Linked DNA regions of Drosophila melanogaster. The protein of the gene in region 2 interacts with the protein of the main gene of each other region in a pairwise test. Each region holds a gene or a part of one and is shown on either strand. Other genes may lie near its edges. The genes, in order: pie, Sod3, PGRP-SA and CG6878.

Region 1 (4,861 bases), on a different chromosome or scaffold from region 2:
TTAAGATTGGAGATACCTATGTCCCTGCAGCTCGTAAATGGTGCCACGTTTGCCACCAACATCCCAAACTAGCACGGACTGATCGCAAGCTCCGCTAAACAAGAGCTGAGGGCCTTCCACCCATTTGAGGCACCGGATTTCCGCTAAAAATTAACCAATTCGTATATAATTAGCTTACTAAATATCATTTGTAACTTGTTTACCCGAATGTCCATTGAAAGTGGTAATTAGTTGCACTCCCTGAACATCGCACCTTAGCATTGTTATCTGTCCAGCATGATCGCCCACAAAGGCATACTTGGCCAAAGCGTCGAACCTAAACGCAGATTATAATTAATTATATGTTGCTTATAGAATATTTCGCACAGTGCACACATTTATGCCAAAATTTTGTGTAGATAAAATGACTCAGTTGACACGTCATTAACAATAGAAGGTTCTCAAATTCTAAATGAATTCCATAGCCGTGAAGAATTGCAGTTTATTGCCGTGTCAAAGAAAGCAGTTTAATCCAATTAAATGACCCGCTTATCCCATATCCACTGTCGCACCCCCTTCCCCCTTTCACCATCCATTTATCATACTTACTGGAGAGCCGTGCATGGTGTCTCAAAGTTGTATCCGCCCACCCGTTTGCCGCTCTCCGTGCAATGATAGGCGAACTGCTTATCTTTGCCGGCGGAGAGTATCCACTTGTGGGTTTTCGAGAAGACCACGGCCATGACCCGCGCTTGATGGGACAAGTAATCCCGCAGGAAGGACAGGCGATTGCAGTCTTCGGATAGCGCGTACTGGGTGACCGTTCCGTTTTCCTGGCCGACGTACAGGTGCCGGGATTCCGAAACGTACTCGATGGCCGTGCAGCCGGAAGGCATATACTGGCAAATGCTAGGCCAATATTGACCAGAATCGCGTTTTAGCCAAACGCGAACGGTTCTATTGGGGAAAACATGAAAATGTCAGGCATACCATTTGTGTATATTTTTAATGGGCTACAGCTACGCACTTGTCATCGGAAACGCTAATTACGCCGTTTTCGCCCGGAATTAGGATCGCTGCGTTCACATCGTCGCTGCTGCCCTCCAGCTTACTCAGCAATTCCGGCTTTTTGGAGGTGTTAAAGCGATCATTGTTGGTCCGCTGAGCTGGTTTTATCTCGGCAGCCATATTATTTAAGGTGGATCCAGTCCGATGGTACGCCTACGCCCTATTTAACGCACTCGATGATAATGCGGTTATAAACAATCCGATTCTCGGACTGGGGAAGGTGAATGGAGATACGTGATTCACAATCAATTAACAAAACTGTGTTATTTTGTTTAACATTAAATATACTGAACTTTGTTGTTGGAAAGCTCGTCTAGATAGCGACGCCAAGTTTAGGAATGCTGCGGAATAGTGGAATCGATGAAATGAAAATAGAATCTTAATTGTTAGATATAGTTTTTGCGTATTATTGTATATTATTTTGCTATTAAAAATACTGAAGGTATTTCGTGTGATGTGTCGCAGCATTATGTATGCATATGCACGCACCACATTTTATAAACATACAAACGAGCATTTGAATCTTGAATCTCAGAAATCGCTTTATAAATGTATAGTCTTATGATTTTCATAATGGCATATCATATCTAATAAAACCTACGGACCACGCACAGTTATGTTTCCGGTTATCATGCTATTTAATTATTAATCACAAAATATTTGTTTATATTGTGTTAAGTTTTTAATACGTTAAAATTTATTATTACACATAAATAAATAATTTTATTATAAGTAGGGTTAACGCAAAATATAGCTAGTTAAGCAGATTAGATCATTGTGAGTGTTGCTCAGTGGAAACAGAGCTTTTCCAAAAATGTGCTTGGTGGAATTGAAGTATAATAAGGCGCTGTTGTATTTATTGTTTTTCAAAATCCTTGCCCGCCAATAGAGTAAAAAAGGAATGCAAAACATGTTGATAGTTTTAAAAATTATTCATAATAGCACTCAAACGAGTTGATCTGTCCAGCAAAACTAGTCTGAGCGGCCAGCTTACAAATGGAAGATAACAAGGAGCTGCAATGCTTAATATGCAAATATTCGGACACTGACGACCTGGTCTTTGGCGAATGGATGATTGTACGCAATTTGCAGGTGCACTATTTTTGCCTGGTAAGTGCGATTGTTGTGAAATGAAGAGAACTCCCGCTAATGTAAACTTCCTGATCCAATCCACCAGCTACTCTCAACGCATTTGCCGCAGCGCGGCGGAGATAGCAGTGGAATCCTGGGATTTCTGCTTCGCGATATCCGCGAGGAGGCAGCCGCCGCGGAGAAGAGGAAATGTTGGTACTGCAATAAGATTGGGGCCAGTTTGCAATGCGATCGTTGCCGGTCATTGTTTCACCTGAAGTGCGGCCTGGAGAATCGCGCCGTTTTCGAGTTCTGCGGCCAATACAAAAGCTACTGCTACAAATGCAGGCCGATGGATGACTACAAGCGACAGCTGCAGTCGAATCCGCCGAGGAACGCCACTTGCCCCATCTGCTTCAGTTCCATCTATAAGGTAGAGCTGCATTGCGTTGTGTACGGTGACTGCTGCCGCCTCGGATTCGCCCATAAGAAATGCATGCGTCAGTACGCTCTGACCTCCGGATATTACTTGCGTTGCATTTGGTGTCGTTCGGAACGTTTCAGGGATTCCATACGCCTGCAGTCGGTATTCGTGCCCGATCGCGATGCCACGTGGGAGAAGCAACGGAACGCCTATAGGGAGCTCCACGAGCGCAATCTGAAATGCGACCAGCCCAACTGCCTGTGCCCCAGTGGTAGAACTTATAATAGATTATCGTGGGTGATACTATGCTGCAGTTCTTGTGCCGCCACTTCGGCTCATCTTAAATGCTTGGTGGGCGCCCTGCGACTGCCGAAGAAGCGCGAGCGTACAGATTTCAAGTGCTCTATGTGCCTGGACGTGGAGAGGAGGATTGCTGAAGGACCGGCTCGCACAACAGAAGAAACCAATGCTGACGGCGACAACCAGGTGGATGGCTCTTTTTATGTGCAAAAATTGGGACCCGATGCTGCAACTCGATCCTTAACCCAGACTCCTGTTTTCTCCGAAGAAGACGAAAGCGAACGAAGTAGTAATATCACGGTTATATTCAGCCAACCGAAATCTAACGCAACAAGCGAGAGGTTATCCTTATCGCCGCCACAGGAGGAGATGATAGTGGAAATTCCTGATTCGCCAGAGGCGTCGCCAAAGACGTCCATCGATGAGAACCACTCGCCGCAGCCAATAGCAAGAAGGGACACATCCGACTCACCACAGCCAATAGCAGCAAGTGAGATCCCCGACTCACCGCAGCCAACAGCAGCAAGTGAGATCCCCGACTTACCGCAGACAACAGCAATAAACGTAAACCCTGAATTAACGCAGCAAACAGCATTAAACACGATTCCACACTCACCGCAGCCAGAAGCCAGCTTCTCAACGCAGCTAGTATCACAAACTTTCGATTGTCCACAGCCGCAGGAACAAGCTGTGGCGAAAGCTCCCAACTCACCGTCACTGCCGAAAGAGGATCCAAATACTTTACTTGTGCTAAAATCGGGCTTTCAATGCCCTGGCGAACCATTTTTCTACTTGGTTATCTACGAATTTGAGCACGGCACATGCATGGGTGAGTGCATTGGTACGTGTGTGCTGCGATTTAAAGAGGATGACCCGCGCATTCAGGACACCTCGCAGGCAGCTTTGGAACGCGTCAACATAACACCAGACGATGTATGGTGCCGCAGCGAGGACCGCGGCATCTTTGAGCATATCGAGAAGTTCCACGAATGGTACAGATCAGAGGGGTTCTCTTAAATATTGTTTAAAACAATTCTTAATGTTCTTAATGTTTTAAACAATTCTCTTGTGTGGGAATTAATTCGTCATAGAATTCTAGTCTCTTTATGCATATATTGTTTCGCATGATCATCCAAAAAAAAAAAAAAAACAAAAAAAAATTTCCTACCTCTGAAACCACTTTAAAAAGGTTTAATGATTGTTAAACTAGAGAAGCATGCAGTAAATAAATTGTGTTTTATGTTTTTGTATTTATAATTTAATTCTAACCTATTATTGGAGTACACATTGTTTCACTTCTCCATTGAAACCATATCTCGGCAAATAAAGAAGGCGGCTACCAGAGCTGCAGTTTGAGCCACTTCTGTACATCCTTTGGCCAATCTCTCCTCGATCTGAGCTAGCTTTACAATAAGCTTGTTCATGACCGACATAGGCAGCTCAACTGTTTGGAATACATATCAATAACTTGACTTGATGATAACTTGATAAAAACTTACGTCTCATAACAAACAAATGCAATTCTGTAATGATGTCTTCCAAAGCGAGACCTCTTGCGTACTTGGCACTTTCGACAGCTATGCAAAGAGAAGAAAGAATCATTAGTTTTGATCTTTCGCCATTTCAAATCGCATCATACTTTTGAAGGAGTCCTCCAAGCTACTGCCGGATAGCAAGGCCTTCAATATCTGTTCAATATCCTGCCTCAACGGATAGCCCACGCACATGTAGACGTTATCCTCGTTTACCGTATCAAATGCCATCACGGTACTCTGCAGGACGTTCAAGACCTTTCTCATATCACCTTTGGCCAGGGTCAGCAGTGCCCGCTTGCCGTCCTCAGTTATCTGAACGCTGATAGTTGATAGATTTTAGGTTAGTAATAAGCTATTTTATGCAGTTGAAAGACCTTACGCTTCGGCTTCGATGATTTTTTCCAGTCGCGGCATCATCTGATCCTGGGATAATGGAGCGAACCGAAAACGGGTGCAACGCGACTGCAGCGCCGGAATGATTTTG
Region 2 (6,522 bases):
CATGAGGCTGCAGCATCGCATATCGTACCTGGAAGAGCAGGTGCGAGAACTGCAGACAGTCAAGGAGCATCATCCATCGCAACAGCAGCAGCAGCAGCAGCAGCAACAGCAAAATCCACAGCAAAATCCACAGCAAAATCCACAGCAGACATCCTCCAATCAATCTCAGCATGTGACCAGCATCAGCATATCATCACCTCCATCAACACCGCCCGAGAAACCGTTGATCTTTCAGCGGGGCAACTATATTACCACTTTGGTGGGGGGCAAACCCATCGAGCTGATGGGTGACGACATGGCCTCGACACAAACCCCTCCCGGACATGTAACCAAAACACTGATCAAGGAGAATACCCACATCGATTTGAGAGATCGTCTGTCGCACATGTACTCCATGCCCTCCAAATCGCTGTCCGCCTCGAAGATCTCGATTAATAGCGATTCTGCCTATATGCAGCACCATCGACGTGATAAGGAGCGCCATCGCGATCGCCAGCACCGGGAACGCCCCAGAGATCCTCTCCAGCAACAGCAGCAACTGCATCGCGAACATCTCATGAGCACGCACGCACGCAGTGTAGAGCACCTGAATCATTACAATGGGTAGGTTATTCGCGATTCTTCGAGATTCTTGTGTAGATGTTCTAGCAAAGACAGGCTTTTTCATAGATTTAAATTTTCCTGACTAATCTCCCCGATCTTCTTCGCCATTCCAGACTGGATCGTCGCCGAGACACGCCCCGACAAAGTGAGTCGAACACACTTCGAGCCCGCCTGCCCAGCGATATGAGGAGTGTAAAATCCCTGGATTTCGATAGCGAAAACGAATCGAAGCCTGCGACTGAGACGCGTACCACTAGACCCACTCCGCCCAAGAAACCCCTCCGGCTATCGCTGCAACGAGCCCAAAGTCTGCAGACCGTGGAGCTGCACCCCTGTGCGGATATCGAACGAAAGCGGCCCATGAAGAGGGTCCACCACAACAACAACAACAACAACAAAGGTGGAGAATCACCGACTGGAGAGGGCCAGACCATGCTCATCGAGAACTGCAGTCCCATGCACACGGCTTCCCTCGGCAGGCACAAGCTCATCTAGAAACCCGATCCCAATCCAACCAAAACTAATTGTTAATCGAAGTAGCTTAATCCTCGACCGATCCTAACCGGCGGTTAAACCCAAAAAACAGGCGGACATGTGCAAAATTACAGTAGGCAATATAATTTTAACCAGCTCCCAAGTGGAAAGTTTCTTATTATGTAGTAGCAGTAGTATGTACTTACATTCTATATCTTGTATAAGTAGGGCTTGGCTATCAACATTTAGTATTGAGAGAATCAATAATTAAGAGTTTTTGTATGTACGATGATTTTATTAGCACAATTTACAAATGTGAATACACGAATATTTTCACCTACTTAAATGCGTTATTTATTTAAAAAATTCGATCCCGGCCTGCTATAAATGTGATGTAACTACAATTTCATGGCATCGGTTGGCATATCAGAAGCTATTACCTGGCAACTCATTTTCAAAGAATTTGTAGCAGTAGTTCTTCAAATTGCTTCGCCGTATCTGGAAAGCATGCCAATATTTACGACCTCCATTGTAGGCACGAGCCTGGCACATATTTTATGACGCCACAGTGATAAGGTATTCAAATGAAAAGCACGTTAGCGTGTTTCAGCTGCGCTTTTAGTAAGTTCAAAGAATTACTTAATAGCTATAATTTGGATATAATTAAAAAAAAGGCCGTTAATAGGATAATAAATATATCATCAGAGCTGGACAAAAGAATCTGATCAATCTGCAGTTGATAAAAAAAACTCAACGAGGGAGATAGAGCGATAGAGCGGTGAAGTAAGCCCGAGATAAACCTGAGAGCGGAACTCTCGCCTACGCGATCGTGCTGACCGCCAAATGCAATATCCGCCGCTCCACCTGGTGGCGCTCTCAATTCTCAATTCTGCGGTCTTCTTGCTCTCGCCAAATCTGCCCCAATGTTCTCTCAGCGAGTCGATTTGCGATGGCAATGCCAGAGGCTCGAAACAGTTCCGTCGCAGGTTTCCAACGGTACAGAGGTGCAATCGCTTAATTCTCGCAAAAAACAATCAGTACCCAATTATAAAATAGTTGCTAACAAGGTGAGTTTGCAACGGACGCGAAAAAAAAGAAGATCAAGGGCTAGTAATCGAGAATATTGGGTGAAGGTTAAGCTGAAGTTGAAGTTACTTGAGTTAATTGTAATTGTTAATTGTTCATAATTTATTGGTTTGCTTACATTTTAGAACCTGATTTAGATATATTACCCACAATTGCGTGTTACCAAAAAGAAACCAGTTACCGCAAAAACGGAGTTTACTTCACTGATTTTTGATTCTCTCATTCACTGTCCGCTCACCCTTGAGTGGGTTAAGGTAACCAGTTATTAATCCAGAAAAATGAGTGGGCAAAAATGCAGCACAGACCAGACACAAAATATTGTACATATCCATTACAATCCACACATTCCACGGCTTAAAACTTCAATAAACATTTAAATTCCCAATCGTGAACAGTTGGTTGAACAAGTGTTTACGATATTCTATCTTTTCATATATGTAAAATTATGGCTTGTTCTTATCTCAAAACTGCATAGCTTCGGCGTTTAAATTAGACGCGAAGTCTCTGTGTGTGAAATCAAGTAATCTTGGCTGTATTGTTTGCAAATTCACGAAGAGAGCCCTGCGATCAAATTGTTCAGATAAGCATCTTCATTAGCATATCGTTTCACGGTAAAACTCAAACTGAGTTATTATTTTCAAATCAATCATATTTAATCAGCAAGCAAGAGCCCTAATAAACCTTATTTGATGGACAAGCAGTGGCTATTAGTTGCAATTTGTGACCCATTTCGTGACAGTTTGAACCAGAATAAGTAAATACCTGGCAAAAAACAGATTAAAATACTTATACGTAATGACAATGGCATTTTTAGTTCCGAAATTCAGTCGCTCTACGAGCGTGAGAATCGTAAATTATGGGACCGATTCCAAGTGCAGATAAGGATACGTGTGTAGAGCAGGTACTGACCGCGTTTGAAGATCGTTTCAGAACTCGAGCGTGCAAGATCGCCAGCATATCGCAGACACATTGATAAGACCGTAAGGAAACCGGACCCATAAACAAATATTGCCCCGATAAAGTGTGACACCCATCCATTTCATTTGTGGAACTTTGGAAGCGAAGTGCGTACGAAAAAGAGATTGTTGATTGACCTTCCCGCAGCCGCACTTAACCCTGTGAAAAAGGCTGTTTGCATTTAGTTTCGTTTGGGTATCGCTCATTATTCACACACATAAATAATAATACCCGTTCGCACATCATATATGACCCACAAATCGTTTCATAAATTGAGGCTAGGCGCTTCAATTCCGCACACAACTGTCCGTTTAAATGGAATCAAGAGAATGTACACCTGATGACGTCCAAGCCAGAGATGAGCTGGAATTCAAGTGCCAGAGATGAGTTGGCATCACGGAATTTGAGATTACAAGACATAAACCCTCCTAGCATTTCCCAAAACTGAAAGTATTTGGTTCCAAATCATTTAAAGCTTTACTATAAAGCATTATATAAATAGTTTTGGAAGATGTTTTTAATATTGAGTCCATATCAATTATCGAAATTTCAGGATTATCATTTAGTTCATTTTTAGCTATGTCCAGTAGATCATCCCTGGTGGGATTTTCTCTGCTTGTGCCACTCAATTTAAAATTATTTATTTATAGACATTTAAACATTTCTAACATTTGCTATCCGAGTCGTACACGTGTCTAATTTAACTATGATTTCCTTGCAGTTCAAAATGATGCAATATCTTGTTGTTAGCCTGGCACTCTGTGCCACAATTTGCTCTGCTGCGCAGACGGTAAGATATATAATCTCGTTAATTTGAAAATCCACTTATAATTAGGACACTGAACTTACTTTGCAGCGCAATATGCCCATTCAAGCCATTGCCTATCTGATTGGACCCGTGCAATCGGATAATACCCAGGTCAAGGGCAACGTGACCTTTACGCAGAACGACTGTGGCCAGAATGTCCATGTGCGCGTCCAGCTGGAGGGATTGAAGGAGGGCAAGCACGGCTTCCACATTCACGAGAAGGGAGATCTGACCAATGGATGCATCAGCATGGGTGCTCACTATAACCCCGATAAGGTAGATGCGGGATTCTTTATAGGATTAGGTGTCTAAATCACTAATATAACTTTTATGTCTCAGGTTGATCACGGTGGCCCCGATCACGAGGTGCGTCATGTTGGCGATCTGGGCAACCTGGAGGCCAACTCCACGGGCATTATCGACGTTACATACACGGATCAGGTGATCACCTTAACTGGCAAGCTGGGGATCATTGGCAGGGGAGTTGTTGTCCACGAATTGGAGGATGATCTCGGTCTGGGCAACCACACGGATTCCAAGAAGACCGGCAATGCAGGCGGCCGCATTGGTAAGTAGTCAGTGTAAAATAATAAAATAATAATAATAATAAAATATTTGTTTTAAACCTTCTTTCAGCCTGTGGTGTTATTGGCATCAAGTAAATATCCCTTCCAACGTGTCAGCCAAATCAATATGCTGCTCGAATACTTTATGTGTAGTTGTGTAACTCCAGGCGTAGTAACTAATGAAATGTTTTCCCAATTTTCCCAATTCCCCCACCCACAATCACACTCACCCTTACATGTTTGGCTTACACATTTCCCTCAATTAATTGTCTCAGTTCACTGACTCACTCGATTTGCCGTGTGTGTGTTTGTGTGTAATAAAATCAACAAAAATTAACCGAAATCTAAGCTAAACATTAGCATACTCTGTACCACTTGTGTTCTACCACCTCATATTCATGGCCTAAACAAACTTTCGCGCTTTGCTGGGGTTGCTTTTCCGAGTGGGTAGGTATGACAGAGAGCCTTTTTACCTATCATTTTTACTAACATCATTAGCATTAGTCGGTCGGTCGGTCGGTCGGTCGGTCGGTCGGCGAAGAGAAGGGGATATTGGAATAACAACTGCCGCTGGAATCGGAACTTTACTGATCCAACCAGGGTTCAATCAAAAAACTCACATTGTATGTTTTCCAGTGGCCCATCTGTACCTGCACCTGCACCACCAACACCACGCCATCAGCCACTGTACTATGTGCCCCATGGGGAGCCACAAGATCATGTTGTCTATCCACTCCAGCACTATCCTTTGCCATACCCACACCCATATCCATATCCGCACCCATACCCCTATCCGTATCCGTTGTCGCACCAATTGTATCTGTGAGATCGCGAGACTACACCGTTCGCCTGTTCCACCTTCTAATTGCAGCTCGGATGTGGACGAGTGGCCATGTCGCGATGGTGGCGCCGGCGCCCTGCGCTACTCCTTCTCCATCCTGACCGTCATCGTGGCCCTCATCATGGCCCGCAGCCTTGACTAATCCGAAACATGCACCCGGATCGGATCGAATGCACGCATGTGGCATGGGATTGTTGGCCATCGTAGTGATCTGCATACCTACTTACACACTAACCACACAACCATGAGTCGCACACCACTACCAACAGTAATTATAATACTCCAGCATTATCCACCCAAATAGAGAAATCAAAGGAACTAACTAAGCTACTTGTAAAGTGTTTGAATTGATCGATAATAAAGTTTGTTATTTGTATTTCGGGTGCTTGCAATTTGTACGTGCTTAGATAGTAACAAAAGTTGCTGAAAATGAACGACAGATAAGGGTTAGCTCTAATTTTATAAAAAAGATTAGACAAAGTGTTTCCAATGGACTGTTAGAATTGCACATAAATCACAGTAGTAGTAAGTTATCAAGAGAATTAAATATAACTTCAATTTTGTATGTTGATTTCTAAGGACAAATAGCTGTTTGTTCCCTAAAATAGGTTACCAAATAAATGAACACTCAAAAAGTTGGTAGGAAAACTATATATAGAACTTCGACGTCACCAAAGCTTTTCCTACCCATACACCTTTATGTGGCTGCGAATGGGTCATATAACATTTAGTTGCCTTTGATTTGCTGAATTCCAGCTTAGAGCCACAATTTGCTTTAAATTGCGGAAGCCTTCAGAAAATATTTGTGCTCCAATCATTCAGAGAACTCCAATTCCCAGGGATTTTGATTCCAAGCCGCCGCAACTAATGGTCAAGCAACAGTTTTTGCTTTTATTTTTTCTAGATTTCTTCGACCAGATAGGCTCAGCCAGAGAATGGGTCAAACAGTGGGATTCTAGAAAACCTAGGGCCATAATTCCCGACACGCAACACTAACATCATCCGAAAGACTGTGGCATACTTCTGGGCGTCTTTAATTATTTCGCACAGTCCTCAGAGAAAGAGAAAGCATTTACAACTTTCTTTGCCGCGCACGAAAGCACGCAATTAATTTCGCCTTGGGCCCGGTCGAGTTCCAAGTGCTAAGTGCCGAACTTTAAAGGGAAACACATAGACGTGGGCGCACA
Region 3 (4,208 bases), on a different chromosome or scaffold from region 2:
AACATTGGAAATAATGATCCAAATATGGATTGTCATACCTCGTTGAGTTCGTATTCAAAATTCTAATCAAACTGTGTTTAAAATTTGGATTTTTAATTTTTTGCCATTTTTCGCAAATTTTGATGATGTTACCCCTTACCGAAAATGCGAAAATCGACCCAAAAATTAATTTTTCAAAATCCGTCAAAAAGTGATAGGGATAGTTAGTAGTGGTTTTTAGCTGCACAAAACAGTCATTCTTGTACTTATATGACCATTTTTAGATAAGTTATAAGAAAACACCCTTTGTACATATCGTATTTTTGGCCAAAAGACGTTTTCCAGATTTAAAGGAAGAAAATATTTAGTTTTTTGGCCACAACATTGGAAATAATGATCCAAATATGGATTGTCATACCTCGTTGAGTTCGTATTCAAAATTCTAATCAAACTGTGTTTAAAATTTGGATTTTTAATTTTTTGCCATTTTTCGCAAATTTTGATGAATACCGAATATGCAAAAATCGACCCAAAAATTAATTTTTCAAAATCCATCAAAAAGTGATAGGGATAGTTAGTAGGGGTTATTAGCTGCACAAAACAGTCATTCCTATGCGTTTATGACCATTTTTAGACAAGTTATGATAAAAACACCCTTTGCATAAATCGTATTTTTGGCCAAAAGACGGTTTTCAGATTTAAAGGAAGAAAATATTTAGTTTTTTGGCCACAACATTGGAAATAATGACTGGTCTATGCCACCCGGATGCGTTTTCATCCAGGGTATCAGCAAGGCAATTCAGCCAACAACGCCAACAAGTTGACTTGACTGCTGGCTAGCGCGGTATAAATGACGCCTGACGTCATGATGTCATCGAGTGAGCGGCAGAGCAGCCAAGCAGCGGAGCGGCCAACCTTAATATTTGTAATCTTCAAGTGCAACTAGGCCCCCGGCCACGCCCCCTTGACACTGTTCATTGGCCGCCCACGGATTGGCAATTAAAAAGAAAGGAATTAAACTTGCTAGTGGAAGCTCCTCGGACTTTTTCTCTGACTCAGCGCCACCTGAAAGTGGAGAGTGAGAAAAGTGGGTGAGGGCGATAGAGAGTGCACTGAAAAGAAATACTAGTGTGTGTTCATATTAGAATTAGAATTATTATATAAATATGTAAGATATGCATAATCTATCTAGTACCACAAAGTATATATGCACACTGAATTTATATGATTAATAATATCTGATTGATCTGCTCGTACATTATTTATGGATAACCCCATTTATAAACAACATATCTATTACCAATGATATCCAATACCATGTCTATAACCATTTGTTTATATCATCAATTACAAAGCCATAAAAACTTTGATAAACATAATATCACTTTCGGTGAAGTAACGCGAAATTAGATAGTCTTTCTTGCAGTGCAGCAGTAAAACACTGAGCGGTAAGTCTGATGAGTAACGCTAGTGCGGCGGAGATGACGCCGGATTGCCCCGCCCTGTAGTGGGTGGCAGTTATCGGGCAAACGGCTTTTATCAATAGCACCAATAATAACAGAAACCAAAATAGAATGAATGAATGAATAAAAAAATGCATCCAGTGGTTAGCGTAATGCATTTGCAATGCGGATCGCCTTCGGTGGAAAACCTTAAGGCAGAGACATGCAAATGCAAATGCCATGAGTAATTCACAATTTATAGACACCACACACATCGCAATCAAGTTCATAGCATGGGGGTCAATTATTATCTACTTTTTAAAAGAATCTTTAACTTTTCCCGCGAGTTATTCATCCTAATGAAACTGCCTTTTTTTAGCTGGCATTTAACACTTTTACCCTTGGAAATTGAAGTTAGTAAAGAAAAGCGGACGGTATTAAACATTTACACGCATTTCATTGACCTACAAAATGTATTGTTTGTTCATTTTTTGTTTTTTGGCAAAAACTATTGAAACTGCCTTTTTTTAGCTGGCATTTAACACTTTTACCCTTGGAAATTGAAGTTAGTAAAGAAAAGCGGACGGTATTAAACATTTACACGCATTTCATTGACCTACAAAATGTATTGTTTGTTCATTTTTTGTTTTTTGGCAAAAACTATTGCCATTACGTTCTATTTAAGGGAAGTATACGTTTTTCCTCGCCCTCTTTTTTAATTCATTAACCATAAATTGATTTAATGAACGACATGTCGGCATGCGAGCCTTCTATATCTTTTCATTTATAAGCTCGAACGATAATATACACAATATATTCGTGAGTAATATTGCTACACTTATACTTTTTTTTTACATATTTACTACTCAATTTGCAAACAAAAAAATAAAAATCTAACGCTCTCTGCGGCTGTTATCAGTGAACTTCTCGCGAGACTTTCAGCTAATCATTAATTTAGTTTAACTGTTAGTATTCGTGTGTACATATCACAAATCTTACTGCTTCTAGGGAAGCATTCGTCACTAGCTGAAAAGCGGAAATTCCATCACAGAGATCGGCTTTCAACCCGTTTTAAATTGTTGTTTGGGCTTTTTGCTTGTCGCTTCGCAAATGTGATGCAAAACAAAAAGAACCGAACAAAGAACGCGGAGATTTGCGACGGATCGGAAGATCTGGAGATGGCTAATGGACGGGAGTCCCCTGTGGCTCTGCGGGATCGTAAGCTCCAGAAAGCTCGGATCGTTGGCCCTGATAAATCCGGCAGATAGCCCATCGAGAGCAGTTCTCATCCAGCCTTAGATCTTAGCACATCAACATCATGCAGCCGGTTCGATTCGGATCTCCTTGGATTATGGCCATTGGGCTGGTGCTACTACTGCTGGCATTCGTCTCCGCCGGAAAGTCGCGTCAGCGTTCGCCAGCCAATTGCCCCACCATCAAGCTGAAGCGTCAGTGGGGCGGCAAGCCTTCGTTGGGACTCCACTACCAAGTGCGTCCCATCCGCTATGTGGTCATCCATCACACGGTCACCGGCGAGTGCAGCGGACTGCTCAAGTGCGCCGAGATTCTCCAGAACATGCAGGCGTATCATCAGAACGAGCTGGACTTCAACGATATTAGTTACAAGTACGGATGGCACCTTCGCAATTATCAAGATAACTATTATGATAATGATCTCTTTCAGCTTCCTGATCGGCAACGATGGTATCGTATACGAAGGCACTGGTTGGGGATTGCGCGGTGCCCACACCTATGGATACAATGCCATTGGCACGGGCATAGCCTTTATCGGCAACTTTGTGGGTAAGTTGCAAATCGATATTCTCCGCTATGTGGAGCACTACATGCCCAACATCTCCGATAGATAAACTTCCATCGGATGCGGCTCTCCAGGCGGCCAAAGATCTGCTGGCCTGCGGAGTGCAGCAGGGTGAGCTGAGCGAGGATTACGCCCTGATCGCCGGCTCCCAGGTGATCAGCACCCAGAGTCCCGGACTGACTCTATACAACGAGATCCAAGAGTGGCCGCACTGGCTCTCAAATCCCTAAATCAACTACAAGTAATTGCAGTAGTCTGCCAGAATGAGCATATCAGTTTAGTAAAGTAAATAAACCAATGTTGTTGAGTATTTTTTTGTGGTTTTTATTTTATAATTTTCTATTTTGTTTTCTGTCATAATTTACAAAAATGTGTCGGACGTAAAAATATATATGAATATATAGTGTAGTGTATGGGTGGGTGCCTGCATTCTTATGCTTTATAAGTAACATTTGTGTGCAGGCGAAAACAACTGATCGGGTTAATTAGGGATTTAAAGGGTATATGGAAAACGCTACAAATAGTGTCTGACGTTGGCTTGTTTTGTTGTTGTTTTTAATAACTAGGGTCTTTATACTAACATTAGGCAAAATAAGAATAGGGATATTCAAAAAAATGTGAAAGTACTTTGCAGAAGAGTGACAAGAGTCTTCCAGTTAGTAAACAATTTCATACAGTGGGTTGTGCAAAGAAATAGATTCGCATTATCGAATACAGTTCGAGAATTGCAACTTGAAACAATTTGTGCAAATATAAATGGCTTCGAATTCGCTTTTCTGGTTAACGCAAACAATTCAAAATGTTTACTTTACCACAAAACCAAATACGAAACTGTAGGCTAATTTATACAACTTGTTTAAAGCTACTTTTGCAAACAGTATTGAATTTTGTATGAGAGACCTATTTGCTGTATACAAACATAATATTATTAAATTCACCTTTCCCGTTCGGGCGATCGAGCGTAGTCG
Region 4 (3,238 bases), on a different chromosome or scaffold from region 2:
TCGCATGACCTTCATAGCCCCAAATCTTTCCATGATTGTTGGAGCATCGACGGCGGCTAAACTCTTGGGCATTGCTGGTGGCCTTTCCAAATTATCCAAAATGCCGGCCTGCAATGTTCAGGTGTTGGGTGCACAAAAGAAAACCCTCTCGGGCTTCTCACAAACGCAGATGTTGCCGCACACTGGCTATGTGTACTACTCACAGATTGTGCAGGATACTGCGCCAGATCTGCGACGCAAGGCAGCTCGCTTGGTGGCCGCCAAGTCCGTGCTGGCTGCTCGTGTTGATGCCTGTCATGAGAGTGTCCACGGGGAGATTGGACTGCGCTTCAAGGAGGATGTGGAAAAGAAGCTGGACAAGCTGCAGGAGCCGCCGCCGGTGAAGTTCATAAAGCCGCTGCCCAAACCCATCGAGGGAAGCAAGAAGAAGCGAGGAGGCAAACGCGTGCGCAAGATGAAGGAACGATATGCGCTGACAGAGTTCCGCAAGCAAGCGAACCGCATGAATTTCGGAGACGTAAGTTTCTGGCTTAAAAATATAATGGTTATGTATTAATCTTTGAACTTTTCTTTCAGATCGAAGAGGATGCCTACCAAGGAGATCTGGGCTATTCACGCGGCACCATCGGCAAAACTGGCACCGGCCGCATCCGATTGCCCCAGGTGGATGAGAAGACCAAGGTGCGCATTAGCAAAACGTTGCACAAGAATCTGCAGAAACAGCAGGTGTACGGCGGCAACACCACGGTCAAACGCCAAATCTCCGGAACGGCATCCAGTGTGGCCTTTACGCCACTGCAAGGTCTAGAGATTGTGAATCCGCAGGCGGCGGAGCGTTCGCAGACGGAGGCCAATGCCAAATACTTTTCAAACACATCCGGATTCATGTCAGTGGGACAGCGGACCACTTAAGAGAACAGCTCTATCCTTATTTTCTATAAAATTAAGCACTTTTATTTGGAGATTTGTCGAATGTATATTGAGTTAGGCGTAGTAAAGCTGCATAAGAGATTCGAATTGTTGTTAGCTGAGCTTGCCGACTTCCAGTTTCCGTTGAATGGCCTCCCACGAGTTGTTCAGCAGCACGGCGAGAATGCCGGCCACCGTGAACACGCCTCCGATGATGGAACAGCAATTCGTGGCGAAGTGGCCAAATGAGCTGGGAATACACAACACAACCAATAAAACTTGTAAAATTAACCATTAGCTTTGTGGCTTACTGACCTGTGTCTCTCCGCATATTTCACCATCAGTGGCGAGAGCTCGTAGCTGAAGAATATCCCCGGCATTCCGCGCTCGCGATCTGAAAGATCTTTTCGGTATCGCGTGACGGAGAATTGATTCGTGTATATGGGCTCGCCGTCGCTGTTTCCTCGCATATATAATGTGGGAACAATTTTTAAATAGTAATTGAACATTTCACTTTTGGTTTCTGCAAAAAGAGGAGAGCAGATTTTCTAGTTTACTTCATTTGTCGTTGATAAATGTATTTAATTTGGTAAGGTAATTACGAATTAAACTTCATGCTTCTAAAAACAGGTATTTCACAATTCGAACAAATGAGTATATTTTTTCCAATTTAAAAAATGAAAATGCCCCACACAACAGACCTCCGAAGTTTCCCAGAAATTCTTCGAGGAGTAAAATATAAATTAAAATGGATGCCTGTGCTTAAATAACTTAGTTTTTTTTTATTTCAGTCTTAAGTATGCTTTTTAATAATATTAATAAATAAAGAATATAAATTGATTTTAAAGCACCCGCTTTTTAGCTACCGCCCCCTATCGGCTTTCTCTAGAACGAGGCAAGCCGAGCGAAAAACAAAGTGGCAACCCTTCTATAATTTGACAGCTCACGCACACCATCACTCAGCTGCTCACACTCACACGTTTACGAATTATTCGACTAGTCGGTGCCGAAATAAATAGAAATATTTTGAATATTCCTAAAATAAACGAACCTTCTGCGAGATTCATAAGTGCGTCGGAGCAGCGGAGCTTGCTACTCAGCGGTATCAACTCATATAGAGCCGGTGAACCAGGAAAACCACGGACTTAGCGGCATGCCTCTGCCTACGAGCTCATTTTCCCAGCAGGGACCAACGTGCTTCGATAAGATGAAGACGGGCTTCATCATCGGATTCTGCGTGGGCATGGCCAGCGGTGCGGTCTTTGGCGGGTTCTCGGCGCTCAGGTTAGTTGGACTTTGCACTCGGATGCTCCACTTAGCGCTCCTCCAAAGAAGTGACGCAAGTGGAGGCCGGCAATTATGTAATTACTCCGGCTAACTAACGAACCACATTGAAATACACTTTAGATACGGACTACGCGGGCGGGAGCTGATCAACAACGTGGGCAAGACCATGGTCCAGGGCGGCGGAACCTTTGGCACCTTTATGGCCATCGGCACGGGGATTCGCTGCTGATCCTGCTGGCATTTGACTAGAGTTACTAAACAACCACAACCTTAAGCCCTACTCCAATCTTGTTTAAATTACGCTAAGTTATTGCAATAGAGATGTTACAGAATTACGAGTCCGTGTTTGTGTTCACTACTCACCAGCCACGTCGACTCGTAGTCCATCCAAGGGATGCGTCTTGGCGAACTCTATCTTCTCGCCGAACGATAGGTGATTGATTGTGTGCGATAGCTTCACATTGCTGAACTGAAAGTCATGGATGTGGAACTGGCGGATGGAGAAGCTCTTGCCGGGCGCAAAGTGAAAGCTGCCGGCCATTCGATTCACTTCCAGGTGACCCTGGATGCGACAGCCCTCCTTGAAGGCGTCCTCGTCGCTGCGTTTGTACTTGCCCTTACATTGCTCGATCTTGTCCACGGCCACGGTCCATTTGCGCAGCCGGTAGGCGTCGAGAACATCCTCGCACGTGTTGCAGCAGCTAGATAGGATGGTAGTTGGTATTAAAAGGGGGAGATTAGAAAGCCATTGCTATAATTAGCTCTAGATACAGATATCTCCTTAGATAAATCTTGTCAGCGAAAATAGGTGGAACTAATGGTTGAACTTAGAAGCTGTTCACTATCTTACTGAGTAGCATTGTGCTCCGCTCCGTAACAACTGCCGCAAGTGACATTCTTATTGGGCGGCGAAACTGCAACGATTTCCTTGATGGGCGTCTCCTTGAGGGGCTCGCCATTGAGATCCAGCCGGTGCTTAAAGACGTCGTGGTCCACCCTCAAGTGTGTGTCGCCAGATGAATCCATTGCGTCCAATGAGATG

What was found.
Region 1: the proteins of Sod3 (region 2) and pie interact in a two-hybrid assay, tested with the Drosophila melanogaster proteins (one large-scale study listed by BioGRID).
Region 3: the proteins of Sod3 (region 2) and PGRP-SA interact in a two-hybrid assay, tested with the Drosophila melanogaster proteins (one large-scale study listed by BioGRID).
Region 4: the proteins of Sod3 (region 2) and CG6878 interact in a two-hybrid assay, tested with the Drosophila melanogaster proteins (one large-scale study listed by BioGRID).

What each region holds. Positions count from the first base shown.
Region 1 is NT_033779.5:10,419,826-10,424,686, reverse strand, and holds pie (pineapple eye), read left to right. Parts: upstream 1-1,906; 5' UTR 1,907-2,043; coding exon 2,044-2,157; intron 2,158-2,224; coding exon 2,225-3,859; 3' UTR 3,860-4,062; downstream 4,063-4,861. Other genes in the region: Wdfy2 (WD repeat and FYVE domain containing 2), read right to left, coding at 17-143, 204-316, 589-936, 1,007-1,167; RfC3 (replication factor C subunit 3), read right to left, coding at 4,135-4,286, 4,342-4,419, 4,482-4,696, 4,757-4,861. UniProt on the Drosophila melanogaster protein: Required for survival of imaginal disk cells possibly by regulation of cell apoptosis. Required for germline stem cell self-renewal through mediation of BMP signaling.
Region 2 is NT_033778.4:11,379,637-11,386,158, reverse strand, and holds Sod3 (superoxide dismutase 3), read left to right. Parts: upstream 1-2,044; 5' UTR 2,045-2,144; intron 2,145-3,083; exon of another isoform or gene 3,084-3,227; intron 3,228-3,841; 5' UTR 3,842-3,847; coding exon 3,848-3,910; intron 3,911-3,976; coding exon 3,977-4,204; intron 4,205-4,267; coding exon 4,268-4,496; intron 4,497-4,564; coding exon 4,565-4,586; coding exon of another isoform or gene 4,587-4,590; exon of another isoform or gene 4,591-5,130; coding exon 5,131-5,320; 3' UTR 5,321-5,365; coding exon of another isoform or gene 5,366-5,477; 3' UTR 5,478-5,710; downstream 5,711-6,522. Other genes in the region: sprt (sprite), read left to right, coding at 1-603, 717-1,098. UniProt on the Drosophila melanogaster protein: Protects the extracellular space from the toxic effects of reactive oxygen intermediates by converting superoxide radicals into hydrogen peroxide and oxygen.
Region 3 is NC_004354.4:11,559,234-11,563,441, forward strand, and holds PGRP-SA (peptidoglycan recognition protein SA), read left to right. Parts: upstream 1-2,409; 5' UTR 2,410-2,739; coding exon 2,740-3,047; intron 3,048-3,105; coding exon 3,106-3,224; intron 3,225-3,285; coding exon 3,286-3,470; 3' UTR 3,471-3,546; downstream 3,547-4,208. UniProt on the Drosophila melanogaster protein: Peptidoglycan-recognition protein that plays a key role in innate immunity by binding to peptidoglycans (PGN) of Gram-positive bacteria and activating the Toll pathway upstream of spz activating enzyme SPE.
Region 4 is NT_037436.4:15,159,941-15,163,178, forward strand, and holds CG6878 (uncharacterized protein), read left to right. Parts: upstream 1-1,876; 5' UTR 1,877-2,062; coding exon 2,063-2,193; intron 2,194-2,316; coding exon 2,317-2,425; 3' UTR 2,426-2,530; downstream 2,531-3,238. Other genes in the region: Prp31 (Pre-mRNA processing factor 31), read left to right, coding at 1-517, 577-912; CG7011 (uncharacterized protein), read right to left, coding at 1,024-1,159, 1,225-1,432, 2,560-2,897, 3,047-3,238.